Linked DNA regions of Tamandua tetradactyla. The protein of the gene in region 2 purifies or fractionates together with the protein of the main gene of each other region. This does not show direct contact. Links are inferred from orthologs where the notes say so. Each region holds a gene or a part of one and is shown on either strand. Other genes may lie near its edges. The genes, in order: PRKCD, SHC1, LRRK1 and INPPL1.

Region 1 (7,886 bases), on a different chromosome or scaffold from region 2:
TTACTTTTTCATCAGAATAGCAGAAAATCATTGCTTTTCTAGACTTCTGCAACTCTTCTTTCCCTGCCTCTCATGTCCCATCCAATCCTTATGTCCTGCGGGTCTTCTCAGAGGCTCCCAGCTGGGAGTGCGGCCAGGGTGGCAAGCCGCAAGACCTTGTACTATCCTCATACTCAGGGCCTCGATTGCAACAGCCATGAAATGGGTGTGCTCAGTTCTCCCGGATTCTGCTGTACAGACAGAGCCCGCAGCCAGCAGCGGGGAGGGTTGCCAAGAAGATGCCACCCGGCGCCGGGGCCCAGGTGTCAGCGCGCGCCAAGCCGCCAGGTGGTTGCCCGACTCGGCATAGAGCCGGACCGTTTATAGCCGGTCCCTTGTAACGCGGCTGGGGTGCGGCCCCCGCCCTCTGCACGGAAAGACTTCCCTGGGGCGGGGCGAGGAGCCAGGGAGGTGGGGACTGCCGGGCCAGTCATTACCCCTGCGCGAGAATCGTGCCTGCGGGGGCAGGAGCGCGGTACTCCGGGTGGGCCTGGGGATCTGTGAGTGGCATGGGGAGCTGGTGTGCCATTGGTCCTCCCACACCCTCCCCACTGAGAGGGGCCGTCCTCCAGCCCGGGGCACCCGCAAGCTCCCAGCTTCCCACCAGCCAAGATGGGCTGGGTGAGCTGTCTTCTGCAGAGGGAGACTGAGGCACTGGCAGGTGAGGGGGCTGGTGAGGCCCAGAGCATCTGGGACACTCAAGGTGTCAGCACCTAAGACGTGGCAGGCCAGAGCAGGGTGGATCCTGGGACACAGAGGTGGGGAAGGTGGGGGCAGTGGAGGAGAGTTGGCGGCTCCTTGGGACTCTATGCGGAGAGGATGGCTGTTGCCTGGGATTGCTCGGAAATAAGAACCCCCATCCTCCCTCCCTCCACGTTCTTTGGGGAACAGGTAAGCCCAGGAGCTGCCAGTGAGGGCTGTGCTTTGGTCAGTGTTGGGTGGGGACAGTCAGGGGCTGTGTACCCCTGTACGGCTTTAAAAAATCCCTGAGCCCTGTGCTCTCAGAAAGCATCTTCCCCTTGTCTACCCCAAGTATTTCGCAAGTTTCACCCAAGCACAAATGTAATTGAGGAAGGAACTTGGAGACCATTAGCTTGGCCTTCCCAACTCTTTGTAGTTAGTAGCTTTGCTGCTAGAGCCCCTGGAGCCTGGTCTCTTCAATCCTCTCAGCAAGCCTGTGAGGTGGATATTACTCTTATCATCTCCATTCCACAGATGAGGACCCTGAGGCGCACTTAAATTACAGGTCCAGGACACAGCCAGGATGTGAACCTGGCCACTGCCTGCCCAACCTGCCCTTACCCTCCCCCACACCCAGTGCCCCAGGCTGAAGCCTCTGCTGATGGTGGCCTGAGGCATGGCTGCAGGTTGGACCATGTCTCAAGGGCCCTCCTTACCCACCTACCCCCAGTGGAACCCTCCCAGGTTCTGCCATCCCCCGCAGTTGTGCAGGTGCACGGTCCCTGCTGGCCTGGACTTCCTGCCCCAGAAACAGGAGCCTACTGTCTCTTGGCTGGGCCAGCGTTCTGGGTGTGATGGGGATGGTGCTGGCAGCCAAAGCTTCAGGGACAGGGATGGCAAAACAGGCAGAAACAAAGAGAGGGAGTGAGAAGAGAGAGCAGGAGGTACAGTGAGGGGCCAATGAGGAAGAGGCTGAGGCAAGGACCAACTGGCAGGGAGCAGTTGGGGGTCCCTGGTCCACCCACAGCTGCTGGGGGAGGGGTCAGAGGAAGGCTGCTTGACTGAATCCTGAACTTGCTGTAGAAGGCCTGAGGGCTGCCCAGTGTTCATGGCCTCTGGGCAAGACAGGGCCCGGGGCAGGCTGCCCCTCTTCTGGACATCCCCTGCAGGGCGACTGTAGAGGAACAGCCCCAGTGGATGCCGGAGGTGGGAGTCCAGGATGCTGCTCAGTTGTTACACTGGACAGTCCCATTTCCTTGGCTGTAAACATGGAGGAGGGGGAAAGGAAAGTACCACTTCTGGCTGCTGCACTGGGCCCAGCCCTGCCAGGGGATTTATGGCCCACATCACTAAGGCCACTGAGGGCTCTTCTGAGGCTGACAATCTGTGACTCAGCACAATGACCGTACCCATAGTATGTGGCCAATGTGGTCCAAGTCCTCACTGGGTGCCCACTCTACCCACTCTGATGACCTACCAATAGGTAGGTCATCAGCTCCTTTCACAGAGCAGACTTAGATTCAGAGAGATGCATTCATCTGCCCAAGTGGCACAGCCAAGTCTTGTCCCCAGGCCTCAGCAGGCCCTTCTTAGGTTAGTGCCAGGCAGGTTGTGGGGGCACAGAAACAAGCTCATCTGGATCTGTCCTGGCCCATTCTGTGCGGTACTCAGGAGGAGATCCAGGGTACAGGGAGGCTCTAGCCAAGCTTGACCTGGACTCCCTGGACCTCACTCAAGCCTGATCCTCCTCAGGCTTCTGGATACACACCTGTCCCTGGAGGGAAGCCCAGCTGCCTCCCTCCTTTACCTTGGCCAGGGCGTAGGCTGCACAGCCTCAGCTGTTCTGCCCTTTGTCTAAGTGCATTACACTTTCCTTTGGAGTCTCCAGAGGAAGAAAATTAGCTGAAGTGAATGTGTGCTCTCAGTCCCTAAGATCATGAGTCTGCATAATCCTGAGGGCCAGAAAAATGCTTCTTAGTATCTAACCCAAATCCTTCTTGCTCCTGCAACACTAGCCCAGATCTAAAACAGTGGTTCTCAACAAGGAGTGATTTTGCCCCCAGAGAACATTAATAATGTCTGGAGACATTTTCGTTTGTTACAACTCAGTGTGTGTGTGTGTGTGTGTGTGTGTGTGTGTACTATTGACATCTACCAGATAGAGGCCAGGTGTGTTGCTACATCCTACAATGCACAGGTTGAGGATGGACCCTACAACAAAGAACTATCTGGCCCAAAGACGAGTAGTGCTGAGATTAAGAACCTCGGATTCAAAAGTAAGGCATGGGCTTTGGAGATAAGCAGACCTCAATTTGAATCCTGCCCCCGCCATTTACAAATATAGAACCTTTGACAAGTGGCATCACCTCTCACTGAGCCTTAGTTTTCTCCTCACTAAAACTGGTGTTAACAACAGCCCTCACCTCACTTGGTCTCGAGGACTGAACAGATCACCCACATCCAGCACCTAGCACAGGGCCTGACACTGGCGAAGTCCCAGTCAGTGACAGCCACTGTTCTTTCCCTTTTTCCAAGTTGAACTGCATGCAGGGTATGGTAGGAAAGGTCTGGTGACTACACCTGGAGCTCTCCTTGGGTGGAGCAGAGGAATCAGGACTGGGAGCCTCATCTTTATTTTCTTTTCAAATTGGGTCCTCCCTCCTCCCAGGTGTAAAGCACCCCCTGCCCTCCCCTCCACGCACACTCCCACCCCAGGACTTCAGATGAGTGTTGTATTTCTGCCTCTAGCCCTGTTCCCCCTCCTCCCCGACTGGGGATCTCATACTCAAACTGGATTTGGGATCCACTAGCCCCAGGAATCTCACTGGAAAACCCTCCCCTCCTATTCCCACAGCTGGGCAAACCATCTGGGTCTGGCCCCTTCTCTGCCAGCATCTGCCCTGACCTCAACCCAGACTCCTCCCACCTGAACAATGTGGCAGCTCCTCTGTCCTTCCCCATACACCCCTCCCCCTCACTGTAGTCCTTCTGCTTCCCATCAATCCTCTCCTATTTCCTATCTCCTATAAGCCTCTCTTCCCTATCCATTCTGTCCCAGCCCTGTTGCCCCATCCATTCTTCTCTGCCCCTTTTACCCCCATCCCTCTGTCCATCCATCTCCTCAAAGGTCTGCTTGATCCTGTTATCACATCCCAGTAACAGCCTCCACCACCTTCCTGCTCCTTGAGAGGATCAAAGTTCTGGCCACAGCTAACTGCCTCTGCATGGGCTCCTTGCTCAACTCAGGCCCCCTCAGGAATTGTCCCCCATTCCATCCATTAGGCTTAGGAAAAGCTGTTCTGACCCTCCCCTTTCCTCCTCTCTAATTATTCCTCCAGAATGTGGGAAACCTCCCTTTTTGCCTTTTGGGAGGTGACATTTTTTGGATGAGTATTGGGCTAATAGCTTTCAGAGCTTTGGGGGCAGAGGAATGAATTCCCCTGGGCCCCACTCGGTCCCCAGGAGAACACTCAGTCAATGAATGAATGAATAAATGATGACTAACATTTCCAGGTTCCAGGTCTGGAAAGGAAGTTCGGATGCCTGCTGGGGGAGGTCCCCAAGGTGGCAGCAGGAAAGTGGTAGACTGGTGGGGGGGTGGAGGGCGGATTTGGATAGGGGCGGCACCCAGAACCGCCTGTGGAGTAGCAGCGGACCAGCCAGAAGCTCCCGCCCTGGAGTCTTTCCAGTTCCGTCTCTGGAGTCTGGGCCGGGACCGGCAGGCCTGGCTGTGGGCACCGAGCCCGGCCACGGACGCGCTCCAGCCAACAGGAAGAGAAGGAGCGAAGCTGGGCGAGGCGAGCCAGCTGGCGAGTGGAGAGTCCGGAGCATGGAAAGTCGGGGAACCCCCGCCGGCGCCTCCGACGAGGGGGACCCGGGTGTACGGGAGCAGTGGCAGGGGGGCACGGCCCGGGTCTCAGCGCCCTCCTGTAAAACGGAATCCGCTCTGAGGGCTGGTGCGCGCGCTCATGGCGGGCGAGAGCGCGAAGTGTGCGGGGAAGGGCTGAGAGGCCCAGACAGGGAGCCACGCGCACCGAGCCAGGCAGACACCAAACCCCGGCTCAGGGCTGGCGAGGGCGGACCAAGGGGCGGGGCCGGCCGTGGGCGGGGCCTGCCGGCACCTGGGTGAGGTCGCGCCGCCCCGCCCCCTGGCACTTCCGTGTGCTGCGGCGCAGGAGCGGGAGCCCGCTGGAGTCCCGAATCCCCGTCCGACCCCCGGCGTCCGCCAGCCGATCCGAGACCCGGGCCGTACCGCATAGATCTCCTCGTCCGCCCCAGTCAGGACCCGCACCGACCCTCGCCCGCGCAAGTCCCGGAGTCACGCCGGGAGCCAGACTCCGCCCACCGAGACCCCTGGCGCCTGGCCCCGAGCCCGGAGGTGAGTGAGGGCCGGGCCTGGGCTCGGGGTCGGGGCTACCCGGAGGGCGCGCCACTCCTCTCAATCCCCTCCCAGTCTCCAGTTCCCGTTTCCGAAACCGAGAAACTAAGCCGCGGCCAGAGAAAGTACCGCCGTCCGCGGAGACCCTCTGGTCCCTCGGTCCATCCGTCTGTCGGTCCCTCCGTCAAATGGCGGGGCCGAAGGCCCCTTGTCCCTAGCCCTTCTACACAGCCTCTGTGCCTCTAGCTCCTCCAAGTGTCTGTCTGTCTCTCTCGAGTCTTTCTGGGGCTCTCTGTCCATCCCCATCGCTCTATGTCCTCCTGTCCAGCACTCCCCAGCCCCTTTCTGTGTCAATCTCTCCGCCTGCCCCATCGCCCCCCTCCCCGGACCCCTTGGTCCTGTCCTGCCGGAGCCCGCCCCCTGCCCATGTCCGCTTCTCCCTCCGCTGTCCCCTGTCTATCTGTTACGTCCTCTTTTCCACTCCAGGGCCGAGGCCAGGCTGGCCACCGCGTCTGTCCTCCCGTCCTGGGTCCCTGTCCAGTCCGCGCAGGGCCTACTTCTTGCTGTATTTCTTCTTTCAGTCTCGATGTCTCTGTCTCTCCAGCTGTCTCTGAATTGAGCGTCCCTCCAGCCTCCATCCCCCTTCCGGCCCCGCCTCTCCACCCCTCAGCTCTTCTCAGCCCCCTCCTCCGGTGGCCCCTGCCTGGTTATCTGTCCCCAGCCAGGCTCCTCCATTGCCCAGGCGCCACCAGCCCACCCCAGCCTGGTGAGGGGAAGGGGAGGAAGGGGCCTGGCACACCCTTTTGTCCACTGGGGTGGGGGGTGGGGTAGGAGGTGAGCAAGGTCAGAAAAGCCCCCACTTCCCTAACTTTTGGGGGGAGGGGAGAGCCCCACCAACCCCCCTGCTTAAACCTGGTCATAATGATTTGATAGTATGGGGGAGGGTCCTTTTCTCTGGTCCCCATACTGTATGTGCCGATCCTACATCTTATAATGAGTTGCCTGTGTCTGGGCATGTGGGTATATTGTGTTTGTGCCTTCTTGTATATTCTTTGTCATGGGGTCTGGGACTTGCCCCTGTGTGTGTTTCCTTTTTAATGTATGTGAATAGTCAATGTGTATGTGTGTGTCTGGTTGCATGTGTCCTTTGCAACTATGTATGTGTCATGTCTTGGTGTGTTCTTTGTCACCAGACTCCTCTCCATGTGTTGGAGTGTGTGTGTGTGTGTGTGTGTGTGTGTGTGTGTGTGTATATCCCCGTGAGTGTCTGGAGGGTATCGCATTGCATGGGTGTGTCATGGGGTGACCCATTGGCCATGACTACATTTGAGCTGTTAATCGTGGGAGCCCCTGGTATCAGGATGCCAGCCTCACGTAAGCGTCTGTGTGTGTGTATGTATGTATACATATTTGATTCTTCCTTTCCTTTTGCCACTGAGCTGCTGGGGCTAGGCTGCCCTGGTCACTGAGGGAAGGGACTGGTCCCTTGGGTTTCCTCCTTCCTGCTGTGGACTATGGGGTGGGGCAGGCAGACAAGCTGGCAGAGAGCAGCTGTGTGACCTGTGTTTGTGTGTGTGTTTGTGAGATGTGGAGGTGTTTGTGCCTGCCCGTGAGATGGTGCAGGGGATCCAGTGTGTGACAGCCCTGGCTGAGGGTGAGGCATTGGTGGAGTGAGGTTCCAGTGTGAGTGAGTGACTGGTGGGAGACTCACAGTCTGACTGTATGAAACTGCGAGTGTGTGTGCTCAGGGCGTGACTGTGTCTGTGGGGAACTGAGAGTGCCCTAAGTGTGGGTGTTGGTGCAGGAGGGGGTGTGACAAGGTGTGTGCATGGTCTGTGTCCCAGGTAACAGTGCTGGGGGAGCGGGGTGGGGTGAGAGTCCCCAGCATATATTTGAGCGTGTGGGAGGCTGCAAGGGTGGGGGTGTGCACATGACATGCACCAAGCCCAGCCCTGCTCCTGCCTCCACTCTCCCAAGTTGACAGACACCAAAGGGAAAACCCTGGGGTTTGTAGTGTTGTGATCAAGACTTTGGAACCAGGAAAGACTTGGGCTCAAGTCTTTTGTCTTAAGAGCAAAAGCCCTGAGCTAGGCCCCTTTAAGGCTCAGCTTCCTTATCTGCAGAATGGAGAAGGCTGCTGTGAGGGCTGGAGATCCTGTGTTGAAAGTCCTTTAGCACAGCCTTCACTCATAATGAATGCTTGGCACATACTAAGTATAGTTTAGTAACCATCCCCCACCTCCCCATCTCTGCCCCCAACTTTATGGTCCTCATTCTCTTGGGAGCTAGGGATAATGAAAGCCTAGATAGTCTCCAACCCAATTTCCTGCCTTGCTGTCTGTTGGTATGTCAGTTACCTCTCCTACCCCTTTGACCAGACTGTTTGTAGGAGGAAGGAGGGGCTGACAGAGCCCCCAGCACCCCCCCCCACTCAGTCTACGTGACACCCGTCCACCACTCCTAGGCTTGGCAACAGCATTGGGGGAGGGGGTGCAGTGGGGTGGGGGATGATTTGGAGCTGTGACTGCAGGGCACTGACACTTTAGTTTAGATGGTATAGGTAATTGGAGTTTAAATCAAAACTAGAAGTTATTTAAAGTGCAGACAAAAAGATAAAACCTGAGGTTGCATCGGCCCCAAGGGAGTAGTTATGGGGGTCTGTATCTGGAGAAGGGGCGCACCTCTGGGGAAGGAAATCTTTGGTGGAGTCATAGCCTGGCCTACAGTAAAAGTGCTCAGGCCTTGCAGCCAGGAGACTCAAGCCCTCTTGCTGCCTTTGCCATTCATT
Region 2 (7,557 bases):
ATTATTTGGTGAAATATTTTCCTAAACAGTTACAGTCCACACATGTTTTTTCAAAGCTTAGTGCTGTAGCCACTTGCATATTGAATGCTTGAAATCCCTATAGCCAGGCCACACTGCACACCCATTAAATCAGACTCTCTAGGGAGCACAGCATCAGTGTTTCTAAGGCTACCCAGGTAATGCTAATGCCCAGCCAAAGCTGAGAACCATCGAAAACACTCCCAACCAACGAACAGTGCGCCTGAGCCTTATGCTGGGCAAGAATTGGAGCACATTAGTGTTCTCTGGCTGGCAGCCTCCTCCCTTTACCCTCACATAACCTTCAAATATGGGTCTAGGTTAAAGGCAGTCCTGACTGAAGCAACTTGTTCATGTTTTGGTGGGATGAGGTTGTCGCTATATAGCCACTACCTCAGGTCAGCAGTTAGAGTGAAATATATTTCAGTAGATGTTGGACAGCATGTCTGTTTCAAGTAGATTAAAAACCAATTACCTGAATGTTGAAATAAACCTCATTATCAGCAAAGAGCCTAGCTTCATTATCTAACTGAACGGCAGATAATTAGAACATGATACTGAATGTGATGCTCACCCTGACAGTGGTGGGGGAAAAAAACCTTTCAATTAGAATTGGATTATAAAAACTTCCTCTTTAATCAAGGGTTTTAACATGGAACAGACTTCCTGAATAAAATGGAAAGTTTCCAATACATTGAAACATAAAGCCACAAGTCACCATACATACAACACCCGGCAGGAAAAAAACAAAACACCAAGTTTACACAATCCCTGTAACTGAGCCATGGGTCTTATTCTCAGATGCTCCCTCCATCTGCCAGGTGTGTTCTGCTGGATATAGAGCCCACCATGGCATCTGGGGTCACACTTAGCTGAGGCTACGGCCCAAAGAGCACTCATCTCGCTGGGTAGAGGTGGTGTTGGCTCTGCTCAAGAGGCAAAGCAGTCACCAGCACATTCAAGCAGTCTATTGAATATCCTTTAAATATCAAAGTGAGAAACAAGAAGGCAACATTATCAGAAAGATGTTAGCAAGTAAGGACAGCTGTGTGTAGCTTGAGGTTGAAAAATCGTGTCCTATCTTCATTTCTTTGGCTTCTTGGGTAGTGGCCTCCGGAACAGTAAAATGTGAGGTTCTGAAAGAGGGGTGAAATCTTAAGAGACAAGTTTATACCATTCTGTGCACAACTTAGTTTATCTCATGCTGTCCCATGGCCACCTCCCAGCTTTCACCCACTTAGATCTTTAACTAAATTAAGATTTAAGCATATGGCTCTAGAAGCAGACCCAGAGGCAATTCTGCCAAGTACAGAATGGTTAATAATCCTTTTGCTGTGTTTGTACAGCCCTGGGATGTCCCTTATTAGTTTTGCCTGGCAGCTGGGTGTCTGGTGTCTTATCAACAAATATATTTTTCTTGGCTTATTTGGAACACATCCAAAAATCGGCTTTCTAGTGGAGAATGAAACAGGGCCATAACCTCTACCAGGGTATAGCTGGCCTTAAAGAGTATTCTCTGTTGAATGAATTAAAAATTAAAAGGAGATTTCTTCAGTGACAGGTTGTCTCTGAACTTCATGGATATTTTACTCTTATTTTTATTTTTGGTCACTCTAGTTTTTCTAGATAGGTGATGGAGGGGAAAGAGCCAGTAAATCATGCTCTCCTTCCCCCATTTCTTTGGGCAGCACACTTACTATTCCTTCGTTCTCTCAGTGTACCAGCCCTATACAGATGCTTTTAGCTGTTCCACTGACCTGGTTCATGGATCATATAATGGACCCATCCCTGACTTTGCTGAACACCAAGATTCCTCCATTCCGATTCAGACATCAAATGGGTTTTAGGGACCAGCTTGGCTATGTCCTTGGGCAACATGACATGCCTGTAAGAGAAACAAGGGAAGGCAGGGAATTTGTGTCAGCACTGTGAACAGTCTGTTAAAACAAGTGCCTGCAAACAAAGCCAAGAGAGGAGAGAAAAGAGAAACCAGTTTCTGAAGTCAGGAGTTTATACATTCCTTATTGTATATAGAGGGCTAGGGCCAGCTATGAATCCAGCCTAAGTTAGGTAAATCCTCACAAAAGTACCTTATAAATAATTTAAATGGATGAGCACTTAAGTCTCACGTACTGATACATTGTCCCTGCCTTCATCATGCTTACAGTCTTCTCATTGATTACCCATAACATAATGAAAGCCCCACAACAAACATTAATAATTAAGTTGGGTTTTGAACAGGTTTGGTAAAGGGAGAGCAATTTTGTGGAGCAGAAAGGCCCATTATGTATTGCTGTGTAGAAAAGCCACCACAAAGAGTGAAATGGAAATATCTTATCTTTTAAAGTCTATTCCAAATCATTTTCCTTATTCTGAAATAAGGATATGCCATGAGACTTCTTTTGGGAAACTCCATGCTTCCCTAGCCAGGGAAAAATCTCTTTTCATGACAGAAAAATTATTACTCTGAGCTTGAACCAGGCTAACCTGGGTAGACTTCATTATGTTCAGTGAAAATGTACTAAATGCTCCCTCTGTGCTAGTAAGAGGTTTTTTCCCAGAGATAATTCTAGTGTAGATGTCTGAAAATAGCTTACATTCTAACAAGCTTCTGCCACAAAGTTTGGCTTCAGTACATAATTTAACAAAAACCTCTTAAACCAAATTACCTTTGCCAAGCTAAGAGTTACATCTCCCAAAGGATGAAACTAGTGACTTCTCCCTGCAAAGATGTTATAAGTATCTAGTTTCAGTTAGTTTAGTTCAGATGTAGAGGTGTTTAGCTGAGGAAAAGAAAGTTAATTGCATCCGAGAAGGGCTTGGGGTTGTTTTACCAAGGACCTAGCATGAAAATGGTTATTTGTCAACACACACAGAATTTTCCAAAGTATACTCAGAGCCAGGCATTAGGCCAGGTGAAGAGACAAGACAAAAAGCAAGTTTCCATTTTATACTCTCCAATTGAGACAATATGCAAACAGAAAGTTGTCTTAATTATTACAATTAATACAGATTAGTAGAATGTTAACAATTGTAGAATCCTCTGTCTTTCCTCATTTTCCAATCTAGAATTATGGATTTATCAAATCTTAACTGTGCATACAATCCAGGGATTCCTTCTTTGCCAACCGTGGTAGACGACTAACCAGCAACTTGATTCTGAGGCACTTTCTCCTTCCTAATCTTTTCCTTGAGTCCATCTCAGGCAGTTTTCTCGAGGAAGCGTTCCCAGACCTACCAATTTCCTTGGCTGGTTTTATAAATCCCACCACACCCTGTACACATCTCTATCATATCATATAAGTGTATCTTCCACAGATTTTAAGTTCATTGAATGCAGAGACAACGTCTTATATTAACCTTGCATCTTAGCAGGACACCTGAAACCTGTAAGTACTCGTAATTGTTTCCTGAACAGATGCCCTTCAAATATCTAAAGTTTTTATTAGACTCATCTTAAACCTTTTCTCTTAGCCAATTTGTTCCACCTCGCAGCCCCCTTCCAAAATAAGCCAGATTTGGACCCTCTCAGGCCTCTCCTCACATTGAGGACACTAGAAAACCTCCAATTCCGCTTTTGCCAACTTCTCCCCGCAGGCATTCTGGTCCTAGACGGTTTGCCCAACAAAGTTGAGAGAATACTCCAGAAACCTGCAAAGGTGATGGGGGGTTGGGAGGTCAGGGACCGAAACACACACTCTAAGCCACGCCTCCTCTCAAGAGTCCAAATTCGCAACCAATTTATCTGTTCCCGAGCGCGCCCGACGCGTTGCGCATGCGCTTCACGCCCTCCACGCTCTCACAGCACTCCCGTTAAACCCCAGCGCATGCGCCGAATCTGTCGCCTCAGTTCTCATTACTAACGCCTCGTGTTCTCACTTGTCAAGGCTCACGACCACGTTACGGCCCCCGCGCCGGCACTAACCGGTACTCGAACTCCTCGTCGTCGTATTTGTCCGAATAGTAAATTTGTTTGTGCGACATGATGGCTCTGACTGAGGGCCCCCAGCCCGGCGCAGCCAAGCTCCAAACAACTCCCAGCAGCACGCGCTCCCACCCTCCTTGGCCTCGCTTTCAAACACACCGCCCGCACTTCCTATTGGCTTGTTTGGCTCAAGGCGGGACAGCTCCACCTTCAAGCCTCTGATTGGCTTAGATTTCTTCTCCTCGAGTCTTTATTGGAGCGCAGTATCCTACGTTTCTCTAGAACGAGCGTGGGACAAAAATAGGCCTCCTATTGGCTATCGCTGCGCTTGTGCTCGCTCTCGCACTGCTATTGGCTGATTTACGAAAGTGGGCGGGGCGAAGGAGAGACAGTGAGGTAGAGGGTCAGGGGTTAGTGAGGCCGGAAGTAGGTGCAATAAAGTTTCTCCAGGGAGGCCTGGCCCGGGGAGAAAGTTGGAGCGGCGACCTAGAGAGGCAGTGTGGCGTAATCCGGAACCACATCGGCCCGCGGTGCGGTGCGGAGACTCCATGAGGCCCTGGTGAGTCTTGACTTCTTTTCTTCTTAGGTGACCCACACCTCCACCCCGGAACCCCTCTCCCGGGACCCCACTTCCGGTCTCCCCTTTCAAGTCCCGCCCCCTAAGACCCCCTTCCCGGAAGTCCCACCTCTCAACTTCAGGGGGGGCTCCCCGAACCCCGATTTGTTTTCCATCTATTGTTCCTGACCCCACCCTGTCGCCAGCTTTATTGGAAGTCCCACCCCCAGACATGCTTCCAATCCCTACTACTAGAAACCCTTCGTTTGTCCTTTCAACTGTCTGAACTTCCGCCTCCTCTGGACGATTCTCCGCTAACTCTGTCTGTCAAAAGACCTATCTCCCAGAAGGGCCGAGCCCTGCCCCTCCAGGAACTATTCGAATTAATTGAAGCCACGCCTCTCTAGGGGCTCCACCCCTCCAGAAGCCACACCTCTCCCTTAATCTGCGTTTGATGGTGTAGAAACCTTGGCTCTCGGTAGTATCTGCTGCACGCATTTTAGGGGCCACGCCCCCACAGGAACTTTATTCCTGTAGGACCCAGGTCACCACCTCAGAGGCTTTGTCTTTGATTCCAGACGCTGTACATTAATACTTACATTTCCCCTCCCTTTCTGTCTTCTGAGCTTTGGACTCAGCTTTCCTGAGCTCTCTCATGCCCCACTGAGTGGGAAGACAAGTTCCCATCTTTCGTCCGAGGAGTAAGAGAGGCAGCCCCTCACCCCCTTCCAGTGGTGGACCGACTTGAAGAGGGACTTGGGGTCTGGTACGAGAGTAGGACAGAGATTTGCTTGTAGATGCCAAGCCCCACTCCTTTAGTTTCTCTTTCCAGGACCGACTCCACCCCAGGAAGAGCTGAATGTCATAACCTGCACTTCGCGAGCTGGGGAGGGCTGTGGATTCAGTGGTGTGCAGCGTGTGGGTGTGACGGGAGTGAGGGTTTTCTGTCACCTGAGAATGCGGGTTTGGAGTGGGGGCTGAGAGCAGTTTACCTGGTGGTGGTTGATTATTTTAAGGGACTCCTCGGTTCCCACCACTTCTCTGGCTCTTCCCCTCCCCCTAGCCGGAGTTCTTGTCTGGGCATTCCTCCTGGTCCCGCTTGCCTAGCCTTCCCGGCTGGAAACATTCCTGAGGCTTTCACCATTTCCTGCTACTTTCCTCCCAGCTTGCCTCCTCCCTGCTGGGCTGAGAAGCCAGACACAACGTCCCCACACCCAACCACCTGGGCTCCCAGTAGGCATTTTTCTTTCTTTCTATGCAAATTTAGAGCCAAAGTTCCTCTTTCTTTTCTTCCAAATGCCCACACCTGTTGGTTGCTCCCGACCTCTGGCAGCCACAGAATGGCTGTCTTGAAAGATGAGGATATCCTACTGTGTGTTGAATGTGTGAGTCTGAGGAATCCCTTCTTCATTTTCTCTAGACCTGAGAGCTGAGGTCTTAGGAGACGGAGTGATAGAATTCTTTCTCTGGAGTGGTGGCTGGGGTGACAAACTCTCCTGGGATGAGGGCTAATGGGAGGTGAAAGAGTTTAGCACAGTGTCTCACATGTTTTAAGTGCTAATATTGTTGATCATTTTTTTACCCTCTGAAGTAAATTTCAGGTTAGGGTAATTCCAAGGTGAGCTGGGGGTATGTGTCTTTTACTTCTTGTTTTTTGGTGGCTTCCTAAGTTACTCTGTTGCTCCCTTAAGCACAGTTGTGGTGAGAAGCTGTGGGTGGAAGGAATGGGTTTGAGACTTCCTTGTGTCCAGCCTCAGCCTGTCTTCTTCTGGCCTCCTTTTTTTTCTGTAGATTTTAAGACAAATCTGTCTTCTACTTTTTCTGTCCTTTAGTGGCCCATAGCTCCCATTTCACTTGGAAAACTGATCCACTCTCCCATCCGTCCCCTGGTGTGGAGGACACTGTGCTCTATGATGAACCCCTGCCCCTTCCCCAGTTACTGCTGGGGGTGGGGGGGAGGAGGGGTACAGGAGTACACCTGATGGATCCAGGGAGTTGACTTTCAAGTTAGTGCTCTGGCTCTCAGTTCTTAGCCTTGACAGCATTCTTTGCTGACTAGCCTGTGGGAAGAGGGGCAGGACTGTGCCTGGCATGTAGGTGCCATGCATAGGAAACAAGGCTCGACTAGCCTGTCCTCTTGTTCCAGCTGTCACCTCCAGCTTTATCCCCTTCACTTCACCAGTTTTGCCTTTCCTCTTGGCCCCTCTGTGCATCCACTGGGACCACTTCTTTCCCTTCCCCATTTTTCTAGCTCCAGTCCCCAGCTGTTGTGGCAGAGAAAGCTAATGGCTCAGGCTCCCTGGGGCCACCTTGACTGTGTGTGGTAGTGGTGGGGAGGTGGCCGGGGTTGGAGGATGGGGGAATGTGAGCATTCAACCAGGACTAGAAGGGAAGTGCTGAGCTCAGGGATCCCACCCTCAGCTGCCTCTGTTTCCTCTCTCATTGCTACCCCCCACCCTCCCATCCTGGCTTCCTGCACCCCCTGGCCTGCCCATGTCCTGTTTGGACTGATCCAGACATGCTCTCATTTCCCTCCTTTCCTTCCCACTTCTCCATCTTTCCCTTTAGCCCACAACCCGCACTTTACTCCTCTCTGGTGGGGTCGGGAGAAGGGGCTTAGATATCTCTACTCCTGCAAGGGTTCTAAGTCGGGGCTGCGGTGGGGGCTCAGCCCCTCTGAGCCTGTGAGTCAGCACTGTCCTCGCGATTGGTCTCTCCTCTTTGCTCCCGCCCCTGGGGAGGAGCCAGGCAGCTCTGGGTCCAGCCTGTTCTCTTCTCGCCAGAAGAGAGGCTCCACGTTGGGCGGGGATGGGCCCTGAAACTGTCTGGGTCTGAGCTGGGGGAGCAAAAGCCGCCTATCCCTCTCCCTCCAGGACTCCTGGGACTCTTAGACCATAGCGGTCTCACCAGGCTAAGGGCCTGGGATGCCCCTTGCCTGGCCCCCTTGCCCTGACTGGCAGGGGGGCCGGGCTGGGCAGCAGCCCCCTTCGCACCCCAGCCATGGATCTCTTGCCCCCTAAGCCCAAGTACAACCCACTTCGGAATGAGTCTCTGTCAT
Region 3 (7,230 bases), on a different chromosome or scaffold from region 2:
GAAAGGGTAAGGAAAGCGCCCATTCTGAATATTTCTCTTTTCTGTGATCACAGAGGCGAGTATGCCCTCAGTGAGTACACAGAGGTGAAAACCGTCACCATCAAACTCGACGACAAGGACCACTGAAGTTCAGGCAGAGTCCTTCCTCAAACATTTGACAGCTGAGTGCGGCGGGCGACACTTGCCGAAGAAAAACAACTACATTTCGGACTTTCCCGGGATGCCTCCCCCTGGAAACTTTCAGTCGACTGGATTTGAACGAGTTTGTTTTCCTCTGACTCTATTCTATTGATCTAGCTGGGGATGCCCGTAGGTTGTGTGCAAGATTGTAGCACTGTCCGGGCAGAGCTCTCAGCCATTTCTGTCTTCCCCCTTTAGACCAGGTCCCGGGGGACAGGGACAGTGCTCACCACGTTGTTTTCAGGGGGAGTGGCATTTGAAGTGTCCAATGGTTGCTTAAAAATGCTTTGCCGAATCTGACCACGGTAAGAATTTGGAAAAAACTCTCGGCAGGGTCTGCACGCCTGGCCCTGCCTTTGTGGTGTGCTCGGCTCACCTGCAAATAGAACAAGCACTTCCTCCTCCTGGGATAAGACTGAAAGGCACTGTTCAGTGGGAAATGGACTAGCGCTGAGTTAAAACTAATAAAAAAAGGGATTGTGAGGACCCACTGTGGGGAGCTTTGGGGAAGCTCATACAAGCTTTGGGGAAGGTTGCAGAAGGCTTTGGGTGCACGTGGGTCTTCAAAGACAGGCGCACTGAGCATTGAACACAGCTGAAAACCAATACCGCCTTTGCAATATAACTGAATCAACAGCCCAAAGAGCTTATTCTAAACATATGTCATGGACTATCAAGGCACTTTCTTAGGCAAAACAATTGTTAGAATCACCTTTGCTGCTAAGAATCCAATGCTCTGGCACTAAGACAGTATAGCACATCCTCCAGTAATTGTCTCACAATTTAAAAAATAAAACAATACAGCAATAATTCACTTTTACAGGTTATGCAATGCTGCCACATTCGTTAGTGGTTTATGATAAGCCTATATACTTTTTCCTTCTTCCAGTTTGGTTATCCATTTTAGGTTATTAAAGCACACACAACTGGAAAGAAACGTGTCATAATATAGCCCTGTTTTTAAAAAGCCCTGTTTTGGATATTAATTTCTGATTAGTCAACAAGTAAGGCATGGACTCCATGGAGGAGTGGGGTTTCCTACTAGATCCAAGTCTGAACACTTCACTAACAAGTTGTAGAGCTGTTCCTGTTTGTGTATCCAAATCATGTGCAATTTCCTCTGTTTCAGCTTGGAAAACTGAAAGTGTTTCCATATAGCTTTAAAAAAAGAGAGAAACCAAATTTTATGTTCCTCAGATGCTTTTAATGTTACTAATTTGTACTTTCCTAATTGGAAAATTATTACTTACATTTGAGAATTAAGTTGAGGGAGGGGAGGCAATTATAAAATTAAGTTCACCATCGAAACCAGTTTGTGTACAAAGGAAGCCATGTGCGAAAGAGGGTTTTCATCCTTGTCAGAAATCCACAATATATAATTCACACCCTCTCCATCAGTTAGCACTTACACTACCAAGAATTTGTTAAATCAGGATTTTATTTCATACACTGAATTTTCAGTATTTTGTTCTCAACTATTACACTAACCTTGATCATAATACATTAGAGGGTTCTTATTCTTTCATTGTACAATAATGCCTTTAATATGAAATGCTACATTATTTATAATTGGTAGAGTTATTGTATCTTTTTATAGTTTGTAAGTACACAGAGGTGATATGCCTTCTGTAATATACTGTATTTAGAAATGGAAATCTATATAGTGTTAGATTTTACTTCTTTAAAGGTTTACCCTGTGATACAGTTTAAAACCCTATTGGCCTGGGAATTCTGATCCTAACTGCAGATTAAGTTACAATGGAGCTATGATCAAATAAAATCGGATATTTGAGAAACTTTATGCTTTTTCATTTGAGAACCAAACCCATTTTAATTCTCTGGTTGAGTTTTTCTCTTTCCTAGACCTTCTATGCAAAATGACCTGTAATATAGCAGTACCAGTGGCTGAAGAATAAAATTACATTTGCTCAATTGATCAGGCCTCAATGCTTCGCCTGTGTCTGTGAAAAACACTGGGGTTGACCAGGCAGGGAGCTCTGCCTTAGTGGCTCTGTGTCTTCAATGGCTAGACTTAAGCTGGTCATCTAAGCTGATAACGTTTGCCATGTGTGTGGATAGTTGCATGAAGGGTTGTGTGCAAATTTAGGGAAAACATTGTATTCCCTTTACTGTGTCCATTTTTTGGTTCTCTCTCCACAAGGCACTAGATATTTGGGTTTAACTTACCTCAAATTTCTAAGACTTCTAAACAAGAAGCCTCAGTCACCAAGTCTCGAGTTGACACAGAGATTGGATCTAGAACATTCCTTATACTTCATTAGGTTCACCAAGGTCAAACTGTGCATTTGATTTCAAAAATCCAAAACACTCTTGCCATGTGTTGGCGAAGCACAGCTCCATTAAGAGAAAATTTGGATCGGATCCCTCGTAAAATATTTAAGAGAGGGAGCCTTCCAACTTGAGGTGCTGAAAAGCTGGGTGGAATACTGAGCACAATGTGAGAGGACCATGCATTAGCAGGGTGAAAGAAAGGAGAAAGGAATCATCTGACCTGTAAGGACCTTCCCATAAGAACCTGATAAGTCACCCCCAATGGATAGAGCTGACTGATGGGGAATAGCCAGCTCAAAATGGGACACCCGTGTGTCGAATGTTCTGTCTGCTTTTCGTATTGGGGCCATTTTCTATCCCACTAACAAACTCTTTTATAAGGGAAGTGAAGCATTACATTGGTGCCTGTCCACTCCAAGGTCTGCCCGGGACTAGGCTGCGCTTCCCCACCGAGTCGCTGGGTGGCGGGGCCGCGCGCTGGGAAGGCGCCGCGCTCAACACCAATGACGCCCCGCCCTGCAAATGATTAGGGACTTTTCGATAGCCGCAATACTGCTGGCCTTGCATCCTGGTATTAGGAGGCCGATGGGAAAAAAAGGGATTGCAAAACTGCACCCGCCCTCTTGGAAGGGCGCCCGATGCAAGAAGGGTCTGAGGGGCAGCCGCCTGGGAGCAGAGCCAAGCTGCCCAGGTCCCCTCAGACAGCAAGGGGCCGGGCCCTGAGAGTCGTGGCGATTTGCCCATGTGCTTTGCGCTAAGTCCTGGGGCTCTCCCAGCCGTTGCCCTACACGAGAGGCGCCCCGGGTGCTTGTCCTGCCAGGGTGCGGAACGATTCGCTTTTTCTGAGCCCGCTTCTCCTTCCTCAGTGGACAAGAATGTCAAAAATCAGAGGGCTGCCTGCCGCGTGGACATGTGTGGGTGCCTTAGTGCCTCAGTGGGTGACAAACATCCTCATATATTAGGTTGAGGCATAATTAATCGGCCACATGGCACCATGTCTGAACTACAAATTTAAAAAGCAGACAGTTAAAAATGATTCACCAATGATGAATATGCAACTATGTGAAGATATTGAGAATTACTGATTATGTATGTAGAACCGAATGATACGTTAATGTTTTTGTTGTTCTTAATTTTTTTAATTAATAAATTTTAAAAAAATGATTCACCAAATAGCTTCATCTTTGCGTAGATCCACAATTAAGGTAGGTAGTCAGTTAAGGTGGTGGAAGAGGTGCAGCTTGCAAAAAAGAACATTTAAAAAAAAAAACACCCTAGTTTCATACAGCTCTGTAGGCAGGTTGCACTGGTATTTTCAACCCTTGCTTTGCGGGAATTTGGGCAGCATTCAAATGCGAGGTTAATCCGGAAATGATGATGCTGGACAGAGCAGAGGGACAACGAAAACCAGATTAATCCGAAAAGGAATTGATTAATCTGATTAATCTGAAGGGACCCGGTGTGCGTTACGCGGAGTCCCCAAACCTGGAGGAGGGCCTCGCTCAGGAAGGACCCTGGGGCCCAGTCATCTCCTGGGGCTGGGAGCAGGAAACTTGCTCGTACCTGCGTTTGCCGGCTGGGGGAAACTGAGGCAGGGCACCAAGGGGCCGCCGGGTCCGCACGTCGGTGGGAGCCGCAGCGGCGCCCCCAGCCTCGGGACGCCTCGGCCTCGCCCCGCGCTCCTCGCGCCGCCCTCCCGCCCGCCTCAGGATTGAGGAAGTGCGTCTGGTCCCGGCCCGGCCCCGGCGCGCCGCCCGAGGCGCGGGGGGCGGAGGGCGGTCGGAGCGCCAGGCCCGGCCCGCCGGTGTCCTCCTGCCCGCCCCGGGAAGCCCCTGCTCTGCAGCCCGCCCGCCGCCGCCGCAGGTAAGCGCTGCCCGGGCCGCCGGGGTGGCAGGCGGCCTCCCGCATCCCGACCCGACCCCGCGGCTCCCGGCGCTCGCCCCGGCCGGGCCCGCACTCGGGGGTCTGCGTGGAGCCTTCTGGCCCTGCGCCCGCGGGCGGCGCAGCCCGGGCCCCGCGTTCGGGGCGGCCGCGTGGTGGGGGACCGGGCGCCCTGACCCAGGGGCCGCGTTCACATCCCGAGGGGGCTCCCGGGGCGCGGCGATCACAGCCCCGATTCCTGAAGTCGCGCGTGAACCCGAGCCACCCCCCCGCGGGCCGGGGCGGAGGCGTGTGCGGGGCCCAGGGGGAAGCCCCCGAACCCCCGATCTCTGCGCAGGACGGCCCCGGGACGGCGAGGGGGAGGGGGAGCAGCGACAAGAAACAAAAGTAGGAAAATCCACCAGGCGGGCGTCTCGGCGTCTCCTCCGCCTTTGGAGAAAACTCCTCCTTCCACTTGGAGCGCGCGCGTGTTTGTGAGCGTGAGTGCGAGGGTGTTGGAAGGGACAGCCCCGGGCTCTCACTCTCCCAGGGGCGGCCCGGGTGATGCGGGAAGACCCAGGGTGCCTTCACTGTCCACAGTCAGGGGCGTCCTGGCTCAAGGGTAGCATCTCTGGCCGGATATTAAGACCAAAGGCCTTCCCTGCGGGTGACCTCCCCTGCGGGTGACCTCCCCAGCCGTCACAGGGGCGGTGAGATGAGTGCAGCCCGGGGCGCCCCGGGGGGTTGGCGGGAGATGGTGATGGGGGAGGCCAGAGCTTGCTTGGTGGCCAGCCAGACCAGGTGGCCGTTTGCAGTTTGATGGCCACGCACAAAATTTTTCCTCCCACGAACACAAGTGCAAGCAGCGGCTTGAGAGGCAGAGAAACCCAGGAACCGAGAGCTGTTTTTTTTAGCTAACTCCCACCCCCACCCAAAGAGTAGATGATTTTTAGAGGTATTATCAATCTATTGGAATATTAATGATACAACTAACATACGCAGGGTTTTGGTAAATGGAAACAGTTAAATATTTTATTAGGATTTTCTTCTCAGTATCTTTGCTTATGTCTTGTAAGCATAACTTAGGTGAAAACGTAAGGTTATGGCATACAAACCTCACACCTACCAAATTCTTAAAGGAGCTCTTGATGTCAACCAACGCCCTCTCTTCCCCCAGGCTGCTGCGTGTCAGGGAGTGGCCCTATCTCAACTCAGTTGCTATGAACGGATCCCTAGGCGTTATCCTTGATCCCGTTTTCTCATGCCCCGAATACAGTTCCTCAGTAAGTTCCGTTGGGGCTACCTCCAGAGGTGTCCCAGGGCCATCCACTTCTTTCTCAGCCTCCAACCCTAGCCCAAGATGCCAACACCTCTTTCCCCTAGGATTGCTGTCTTCCACCCTACCCCACCCACTCCATTCTCTAGGAACCAGAGAGGTTTTTTTTTTTTTTTTAAGAAAAAGAAAAGGTAAATAAGATTATGTCACTCCTCTGCTTGGGAGCCTTCAAGAGCTTCTCCTTGTAATTGGCATGAAATCTAGAGAACCCCTTCCCCTCTACCCCTGCAGGATCTGGTCTCTGTCATCTGGGAGGGCTGCCCCACTGGACTCCCAGTCACCCTGACTGAGCTCAGTCCCCAGTGCGGGGCCTCTGCATTGCTGTCCTTTGACTCTTGATGAGGTTGATACCTCAGAAGGTTCTAGAAGGCCTGCCTTGTCGAACCTGGCTAAACCCACCCTCCTTCTCTCTCACATCCCTCTCTTTGTGTCCTTCTTACATTCTCCGCTGTTTGTGTTTGTGTATACTTTCTTTATTCCATTTCTCTTTTAATTACCTGGCTGTTCCCCAACTTTGGCTTCCTGGGGTTAGAGACTGTGCCTAACATGTTCCTCACCCAGTCCCTGATTCCTAGAACCCTGCCTTGCACAGGAGATGCCCAGTGCAGACTGTTGGTGTAACTGAATGGTGAATGGGACAGCCTTCACTTATTTGTGGTTTCGGGCTCATGGGTTCTTCTTTTGCCAAACCCTTAGGAACTCCTCTAGGTTTGAGAACCACACACTTTTCCTGTGTGCAGCTCCATGATTATCTTGATATTCACAAACCTGTCAATGCATTTTGAAGACGAATGGATATCAGTAAAGGGATACTAATAATGCTAAAGGAAGGTCTAGAACCATGGAGCAATCAACTTGACCAGGCTTTTGATTTAAAAAGGAGCTGGTCTGTGTTAGTATTTCTAATGTGTTTGTTTCTTTTGCAAGTGTCTTGCAACTCTGGTTGTGGCAGCCCTTTCCAAATCTCTTGAAAGAAAACAGTGTGGGGGGTGCGGGGTCTCCTGTTTCTTCCCTGATGGAAACTTTGTAGCTGTAACTGACTTGACTTCCTCCCCACCAGCTGTAAGTTTCATGAACTCACGAAGTTCATGCCTCACAGAAAGGGCTCAATAAACAGTTGTAGAATTAACAGCAGGTTCCTTGTTTGTTTGTTTGTTTTTCCAATAAGTATTTAGGTTTATTCATTAATGCAAGTATAAGGGATTAGCAAATGGAAAAAAAATTGAATTTTGAAAAATATCTAGGACAATTATTATTTCAGAAATCCTCTTGAAGCCCACCTAAGAGGTATATATCATAATGAAAAGAATATATATATACATATATATAATTTATGACCATGAGTTATTGCATTGGTCTGAACTCAAAAGAAAAAGGAGGAAGCAAAGATCAGTTTGAGGGCAAAGATAGCGTAAAACTTGTGTTACCTCATCTTAAAACTATTACCTTAGAGTATAAACAAATGTACAAATTATAATTAAAACTGCTCCGGGGGCAAAATCCTCCTCTGGTAAAGTGATTTTCAAAAGGAAACTGAAAATGAAAAGGGGAACAAAATATGC
Region 4 (7,711 bases), on a different chromosome or scaffold from region 2:
AATTGAGAGTGTTGATGATTGTACAATTAAGTGAGGATAATGTGAGACATGGATTGTTGACTTTGGACATTATACACAATGCCCAATAGATGGAGGGGCTGAAGGATACATTCATTGAGAAGTAGAATGGTGAACTGTGGTATAAACATATGATATAATATTGAACAGCTACAGAAAGCAACAACATCATGAGGCATCTAACAAGATAAATGAACCTTGGGGACATAATGTGGTACAAAATAAGCCAGAAACAAAAGAAAAAATGTTGTACGGTCTTTTTTAGAAAATACTGATAAGAAAATTGGGGCCTACATTGTAAGCTCACATAGCAGTTACATTCAGTCTGGAGCTATAAATGTTATTCCTAGATTTCGAGATGCTGTGTATAACGGAATATTTCCGTGGAACTTTGGCTACCTGTATGACACCTAAGACTCAGTGTTGGAGTTCGGCAGCTCTGAAAAGCCAACACGGCTACATAAAACAACTGTTAAAGACACCAAAAAAGAGATCAGGCTTCACTTAGCGATAAGGACAAAGTCAAACAGGTTGGGACTAAGGTAAATCAGAATACAGGGGTAAGGATGGCATTACTTAGAACTACACCTAATGTATAAGATCAAAGGAAGAGAGATTTATTCTGTCCAATATCTACATTTTCTGTAGCATATAATCAAACTCAACTTGTCTGGATAGCTCATTTAAACAACCCAAACACACGGAGCCCAGAGTGGGAATGAGGGCTTGTAATTCTGTGTAGCTTAATGTAATACCTGATATATCTCAGACTATGGTGGGCAGATAATTAAAAAGGACTGGCAAAGCACCCTGAAGGACTGGAGAAAAAATATTGAACTATTAAACTTTACCACCTGGGAAACTCCTGATACTGTGTCAAACATTAGGCACTCCCAAGTCAATAGGCGAAGTTGAGCGCTTGCTCCTATGAAGCCGAATCCTACAGAGGAGAAGCTAAACCTACCTATAGTTATGCCTAAAAGTTACTTCTAGAAACCTCTTTTATTGCTCAGATGTGGACTCTCTCACTCTAAGCCCAACTCTGTAAGTAAAATAATTACCCTCCCTCCTACGTGGGACATGTCATCCAGGTCTCCCTGGCAACGTGGAACATGACTGCCAGTGATGAGCTTGGCCCTGGAACTGTGGGATCGACATCGCCTTCCTGACTAAAAGGGGGGAAAATGCAACAAAATAAGGTATCTGGCTAAGAGTTTAAATGGAGTCAAAAGGCTATTCTGGAGGCTACTCTTATGCAAGCTTCAGCTAGATACCGCTAATTACCACGGTTTGCCAAACCCCAATGAAAACCATTCCTGTTAACCCTCAAGAACACCTAGGGCTCTATCTGAGGTTCCTCAAAAAAGTTTTACATACTACATTATGTATGTAAAAAGTTTTACATACTACAATTACTTTCAAGAAACCTACAACCTCCAAATGGTTCCTAGGCCAGATTAATCCTGAAACCCAGAGAGGCCAGCCTCTTCAAAAACATCAACTAGTTTCATCCCCCTATCCCATACTATTGACACCTCTTTCCAACATGAAAAAGAATAGGCAGAGCCCAGATACCCCTAAAAACTGGGAGAAGGATCAAAGGAGAAGAAGGTGTTATAACAGAGAAGATAGGATTTAACAAATGAGTATGACTGCTGAATCATTATATTGATAGTTCTTTTAGTCTCCAGTGTCTTGGAGCAGCTAGAAAGAAAAACCTAAAATTGTAGAACTGCAACCCATATCAAACTCTGAAATCTGTTTTATAACTACTTGTTACAATGTACTTTGAAACTTATTGTTTGTATGTATGTCATATTTCAAAACACAAAATATTTCAAAAAGAAAGAAAAAAAATTTGTCAAGTCATCGTTCTATTTCCTTGTGGTATAGGAAATAGAGAGGGAAATAGAGAGGGAAAGGAGCTGCTGCCTAGAAAGCATGGGAGCCCAGTGCCTGCACATTCCTAGTCCTTGTTCTGTCGCTCTTGCAGCACGAAGGCTTCATTATTTATATTGGTTCCAAAACCTCTCCTTTCCCCCAACCCTAGTCAGCCTGGCCCTGCACTCAGTCTGCAATAGCACAGCTGGGAATAGGAGTCCAGGGACGGATCTGAACTCCCAGTGGTGGTGAAAAAATTCACACTGCCCAACATGTAGACAGACTGAAGGGGCAGAGCTGGGGCTTGGGACCTTCAGAGGAGGGAGAGAGTGGACTGCGGAGGGAATATTCAAGAGTCTGGAACTGGTCCAGCCCTGCTAGGTCCTTCCCAGAGAGTTGGGAAGGCCTCCTTCCTGGACACCTTCTCCCCTTCTGGTTTCTGTAGATATACCTGTCTTGGAGAGTTGCTGCGTCTCTTCTCAGCCCCCAGGGGCTAGGCCTGAATTGGTCTCTGGAACTTCCATTTCCCTTTCTCCCCAGAGGAAGTCTTTGTCTCCACACCTTGACCACAGTTCTATGGGTGGAAAAGAGGCCCCGTGGAGCGCAGGGACCTGCTGAGGTGAGTGGCCATCTTAGGACACACGTTTCTAGTCCAGGTCTCTTGCCCCCGCACACCAGGCTCACCTTTCCTCATATGAAGAGGTGACTGACGAGGGAAGCCGGGTACTGATTGGTGGGGTCTGGAGACATTGCTGGGTGGGAGCGGAAATTTCTTACTTTATCATATTTATCTGGTCTGAACGGTTCCACAAAGCTCCCTCCACGTCGCAGGTTTTGTTCCCGCGGGTCTAACCCAATGGATATTTGAAATGGAGGAAGGATCTTGTCAGGACTGACCCGCACTCCGTCAACAGGTTTAATTTAGCAACAGGAAAGTTCTCTCAGACGTCGAAGGGTTCGGTGGACAAGGAGTTGGCTACTGAGCACGCGGCTGGGTGCCTGCGCCTTTAAGGAGCCAGGGGAGGAGGGGCGGGGCAGGAAGCGGACTCCCCTGAGACGCCGCCAAAGGCTAGGTCTTTTTTTGGGAAGGGGAGGGCTAGACCCTCCTATACGCCCCGCCCCCTCTCCGGCGGCCGCGTTCTCCCCCAGCCCGCCGCCAGAGGGGGCCGGGTAAGTCGGGGGGCGTCGGAGCGTGCCGAGTCCTGGGTGCAACCAGCTCGGCGTTCGGCCCACAGGGGAGCAAGTTTATTGACTTGGAGGGAGTAGCCGGGGTGGGGGTGGGTGCTAATAATACCCGTTCGTTCCGCAGCCGCGCTTTACAGTTTACACAGCTGTCACCTTCTTTACTCCTTAATTAATAATAAAAATAGCCGCCGCTCGGGAACGCCTGCTGGGTGCCAGGCCCTGTGCCGAGAGCTTTACAAGCACCGTCCCATTGAGTCTGCGCTCCTAACAGTTTCCCTATTTTAAAGAGCTGGAAGCCGAGTCTCGGAGAGGAGCGGTGACTTGCCCGAGGTCACTCGATCAGCGGCTCCGGGGCCGAGATCGCGACCCGGCTGAGGCGGAGCGAGCGTCCTACCCACAGTCTCCGCCGAGAGCCGCGGGGGCGGGGCAGCGGGCGGGGCGGAAGGCGGGGGGTGGGGGGTTGTGGCGGCGGCGGCGGCGGATGGCCATCTTAAGTGGCCGCTGAGAGTCCAGGGCCGCTTTCCCGGGGAAGGGGCACCGGAGAAGCCCGGAGGTGGGGGCCTGCGCGAGGTGGCCGGGTCTCTGGGGAGAGGTCGGGGATTTGGGGGAACTTTCTTCTAGTGGGATAAGGAGGGGCCTCCTCGTCTCGGACTGCTGAACCCCTCAAGGCTGGCCCTGCGGGCAAGGGGGAGTGATGCCAGGGAACTTGGCCGAGAGGGGGAAGGGCCCCTACCCTTGGCCGGGAAGGGCTGCGGGGACGGGGAGTGAGGGGTCCCAGGGCACAGGCCCTGGTCTGAGGGATTCGGATCTTTATGGTTAGCCCTGCGGGATTTCTTAGGGCCGGATCCAGTGGAGTTTAAGGTTCGGGGCCAAGAGGTGGCTGGATTTCTTGGGAGTTGGGGGTCTGGCCCCCTCGGTTGATGGGGAGACTGATGAAGGGAGGTTCATTCTTCGCAGGTTTTGGAACTCGATCCTGCGGTGCTGTAGGGGAGACGGATGAAAAGGATTTGGGGTAGAATCAGACCTTTATGGGGGTTGGAAGTGATAATATTAAGGGTATAGAAGGGAGGCTGAATTCTCGTGATAGGAGGAAACAGGGACGGTGCCCCGAAGGGTCTGGGTATAGGATGGGGAGACTCGGACTTCGATGGGGGATTTGGGGACTGGATTTCTGCGGAGCGCTGATTGGGGGTGGAGGCGGGGGAACGATCATTGTGGGGTTTGGGAAATCGGGTCCCCCTGCGGTTTGGGGGATCCCGGGTTCTGCAAGAATGTGGGGGACACGACTCTGTGGGTAAGAGGTTGGGAGCAGGGGCGATCTGGGTCGTGGGCCGAGCGGAGGGGGAGGGAGCCGGCCGCCCGGCTCTGCGCTCCGCTTGCGCCCCTCCCCCGCCGCCTCTGAACAAACTTTTCTTTCTCTTCAAGTTGTGGCCGGCGCTGCAGGCGGCGGCGGCTGCGCGGTGTCGAGGCGGCCCTCGCGGTGGGGCGCGGAGCCCGGATCCCCGGCCCAGGGTCGCTTGCGGATTCTCAGCCCCGGGACAGTGTCCCGGCCCCGACCCCAGCCCGAAGCGGCCGGGGGCGGATGGCGCGGAGCGGCTGGTGCCGGCAGCGCTGAGCCCTGACCGGGCCATGGCTTCCGCGTGCGGGGCGCCTGGCCCGGGAGGCGCCGGGTCCGGGGGCGCCCTGGGCTGTCCGGCTCCCGCGTGGTACCACAGTGACCTGAGCCGCGCCGCCGCCGAGGAACTGCTTGCCCGGGCGGGCCGCGATGGCAGCTTCCTGGTCCGCGACAGCGAGAGCGTGGCGGGGGCCTTCGCGCTCTGTGTCCTGTGAGTGGGGCGGGGGCTCCGGGCAGGCTGGGCTGGGGAGAAGGCGGGAGTGGATGGGATGCGGCCGGGTGACTGGGGCGGTGGGACGCCAGCGCCCCCCAGAGTAGGGGCTTTGGCATTATCCTGGGGCTGAAGAAGGATGCAGTGGCACTTCCTGCTGTGTGTCTGGGGACTCGAATTCAGAGTATGCGATGATGGGGGAAAATGCAGGCAGTCCCTGGTAGACTCTCCCAGGCATCTTGCATGTCCAAGGGGCAGTGGAGAGAGGATGTGTGTTCCAAGGTTGTGTCCAGTTCTGTTTATATAGGGATTGAGTGTCTGAGTAGTAAGCAGTAGAGGGAGTTGGGGATAGAGGGACTGATAGACTCTGTGAAGAGCCCCAGCAGCTTCTTTTCTGAGCACCTAGGACTGAGGTTGGACTGCCTGGCTGTTCATAGCTGGGGCTTGGGGGTTGCTGTTGAAAGGAAGGTTAGGGAAGAAGAGGAGCATGTGAGGCTGCATGGGGCTGTCTCATTATTGCATGAATCCATGAGCAGAGGTCTGTGCCCCTGGCTCCTGGTTTGAGTCCTGGGTGTAGCCCTGAGCAATGGGTGCTAACTGTGGGGCTAGACTTGGCAGTTGTTCAAGTAGTCCTGGTCCTGTGGGTCCACCACTTAGCTTTGTGTGGTAGTGGTGTTGGGGTGAGTTTACACATTCAGTTTTGGAGTCTTCTCCCTGATCTGCTCCCCTACCCCTTACTGCCAGCCCCACCCCCCCACCCCCAAACACACAGTCTGACACTGAGTGGGCTCCTGTGGGCCTCTGGAGTGGGATGCAGATGAATCGGAAGCTACAGAGGCTGCTTTGGTTAGATCGAGTTATGTTCCTCCTTAGCCCTGTGAACTTCCCTCTGAATCCTGCTGTCCCTGTGTTTCCTCCTTTCCCCTCTGTCACATTTGGTGACATTTGGGATGGTGTTACTGGCATAGCAGAAGCCAGGGATGGTGCAAACATCCTTCTGTTATGGACAGTCCTCCACAACAAAGAATTATCTGGTCCAAAATGTCAATAGTGCCGAGGTTGAGAAACCCTGGCCTGGGCAGTTAACTGGGCAGTTAACCTGAAGAGAAAGGGTCCCTATACATTTCAATTTCAGTTTGTGCCTCAAGTCTGAGGCCCAGTGTTGGGGGCTGAAGAGGGTCAGCTTAAGCAGATAAATGTCCTAGGAGTCCTGCCTCCCAGCCCCATTTGAGGTGTATCCCCTAAGTAGGGAGGGGAGGGAGGCAGGTGCTATGTCAGCTGTTGAGTGGGAGAGGGACAGCTGGGGCCTGTGTTTGGGTGAGGGACATTATTGTCCTAGGAGGGAGGGATTCTACTCCATTGCCAGGGGGTGGGGTGAGAGGCTGTTCTTTTGCCTCTCAGGAGCCTGAGGTAGAAATCAGAAACGAGTGATTTCTTATATTTCCCAAACAAATAGGTACTTGCTGATCTGTATACACACCCCATGTATACAGATAACATTCAGAAAACACCCCTGCCCTGACAGGCCCAGGCCCTAAGTTTAAATCCCAAAAAAGCTCTGCCTTTTGCTTGCTTGGTGACCTTTACGCAATCACTTTTCTGCTTTGAGCCTCCATTTCCTCATCTAGAAAATAATAATAATAATACTATCTGGCTCAAAATGTGAAGATTAAGTGAGATGAGCAGACAGGATTCAGTTAATGGGATACTGTTATTATTATAAATACGGACTCACAGCTCACAAGCCAACAAACCCAGCCACACAAATACTCACACAGCTTGTACTGGGTCCAGCCAGGAGAGCCCCAGAGTGTGGAGGGGGCTATGTGAGGGAGGAATTGGCCCTGTGACCCTCCCTGGTGCCTATGTTTCCTCCCACCCAACACACATGGGCTGGCCACTCCCTTGGGCAAGCCTACCTTGAGGTGTGTGAGACAGAGGGAGCCCTCCCCCTCCCAGTGAATATGCGCCTGTGGAAGGCGTGGCTCAGCTGTCACCTGCTCAGCTGTTGCTGCCATCTGTCAGCACCCTCTTGCCCCTTCTCAGCTTGGGGCTCCTAGAGGCCCAGGTCTCCCATAAGGGGATCCCCTTGGGTCATCTAGTTTCTTGGTTCCTGGGGGAAGTAGGCAGAGAAAGTCCTAGTTTGATGCCCCCTAACTCCCCCCAGTCAAACTCCCACAGACATACCCAGCTCCAGCAGAGCCAGGCACTAACATGAGCACACACAGCAGGCACACACGTGTTTGCACATTGCCCGTGTGCACAGACAAGGGCAACCAGACATCTGAAGACTCATACTCTGGCAGGGGGGCCCAGGCGTGTATCACAGCCCAGAAGGGCTGTTTAGACAGCTGTGCAGGCCACAAAAGAATGCCTGTTGCTTCCCAGGCCCTGCGGTGGGTGTGGAGTCTATGCAGGTCTTAAGGTGGTGAGGGGGGAGGAAGGTGGAAATAGACTGGCCCCATTGTTAACCCTTTGCAGTCTGGGTAAGCTCTCCTAGGGAAACCAAGCTGAGGGGCCATGGGGCTGAACCTGGTGGCAGGAGGAGGGGGTACCTTGGGGCTTGGAAGTGACAGGAGTCTGACCCGCCTTCCCATCAGGTATCAGAAGCATGTGCATACTTACCGCATTCTGCCTGATGGAGAAGACTTTCTGGCTGTGCAGGTGGGAGCTCTGACCCCTGGCCCCTAACCCCTGACCTTGATCCTAATTCTAGCCTGGGGCTTGGGACCCTCTGGCTGACTCCTCCTGCTCTTGTGACCTGCAGACCTCGCAGGGTGTGCCTGTGCGCCGCTTCCAGA

Evidence for each region.
Region 1: the proteins of SHC1 (region 2) and PRKCD purify together in Homo sapiens (affinity purification with mass spectrometry; 3 studies listed by BioGRID and IntAct, with this or other methods). This does not show direct contact. The link is inferred for Tamandua tetradactyla from reciprocal best matches to the Homo sapiens genes SHC1 and PRKCD.
Region 3: the proteins of SHC1 (region 2) and LRRK1 purify together in Homo sapiens (affinity purification with mass spectrometry; 3 studies listed by BioGRID and IntAct, with this or other methods). This does not show direct contact. The link is inferred for Tamandua tetradactyla from reciprocal best matches to the Homo sapiens genes SHC1 and LRRK1.
Region 4: the proteins of SHC1 (region 2) and INPPL1 purify together in Homo sapiens (affinity purification with western blotting; 4 studies listed by BioGRID and IntAct, with this or other methods). This does not show direct contact. The link is inferred for Tamandua tetradactyla from reciprocal best matches to the Homo sapiens genes SHC1 and INPPL1.

The regions. Positions count from the first base shown.
Region 1 is NC_135341.1:32,530,752-32,538,637, reverse strand, and holds the start of PRKCD (protein kinase C delta type), read left to right. Parts: upstream 1-4,885; 5' UTR 4,886-5,098; intron 5,099-7,886.
Region 2 is NC_135330.1:7,961,604-7,969,160, reverse strand, and holds the start of SHC1 (SHC-transforming protein 1), read left to right. Parts: upstream 1-4,554; 5' UTR 4,555-5,296; coding exon 5,297-5,884; intron 5,885-5,897; exon of another isoform or gene 5,898-7,499; coding exon of another isoform or gene 7,500-7,557. Other genes in the region: CKS1B (cyclin-dependent kinases regulatory subunit 1), read right to left, coding at 1,102-1,154, 1,776-1,903, 3,944-4,002. UniProt on the Homo sapiens protein: Signaling adapter that couples activated growth factor receptors to signaling pathways. Participates in a signaling cascade initiated by activated KIT and KITLG/SCF.
Region 3 is NC_135338.1:83,680,752-83,687,981, reverse strand, and holds the start of LRRK1 (leucine-rich repeat serine/threonine-protein kinase 1), read left to right. Parts: upstream 1-4,225; 5' UTR 4,226-4,335; intron 4,336-7,230. Other genes in the region: ALDH1A3 (retinaldehyde dehydrogenase 3), read left to right, coding at 54-126.
Region 4 is NC_135334.1:74,050,993-74,058,703, reverse strand, and holds the start of INPPL1 (phosphatidylinositol 3,4,5-trisphosphate 5-phosphatase 2), read left to right. Parts: upstream 1-4,710; 5' UTR 4,711-4,713; coding exon 4,714-4,910; intron 4,911-7,510; coding exon 7,511-7,574; intron 7,575-7,677; coding exon 7,678-7,711. UniProt on the Homo sapiens protein: Phosphatidylinositol (PtdIns) phosphatase that specifically hydrolyzes the 5-phosphate of phosphatidylinositol-3,4,5-trisphosphate (PtdIns(3,4,5)P3) to produce PtdIns(3,4)P2, thereby negatively regulating the PI3K (phosphoinositide 3-kinase) pathways.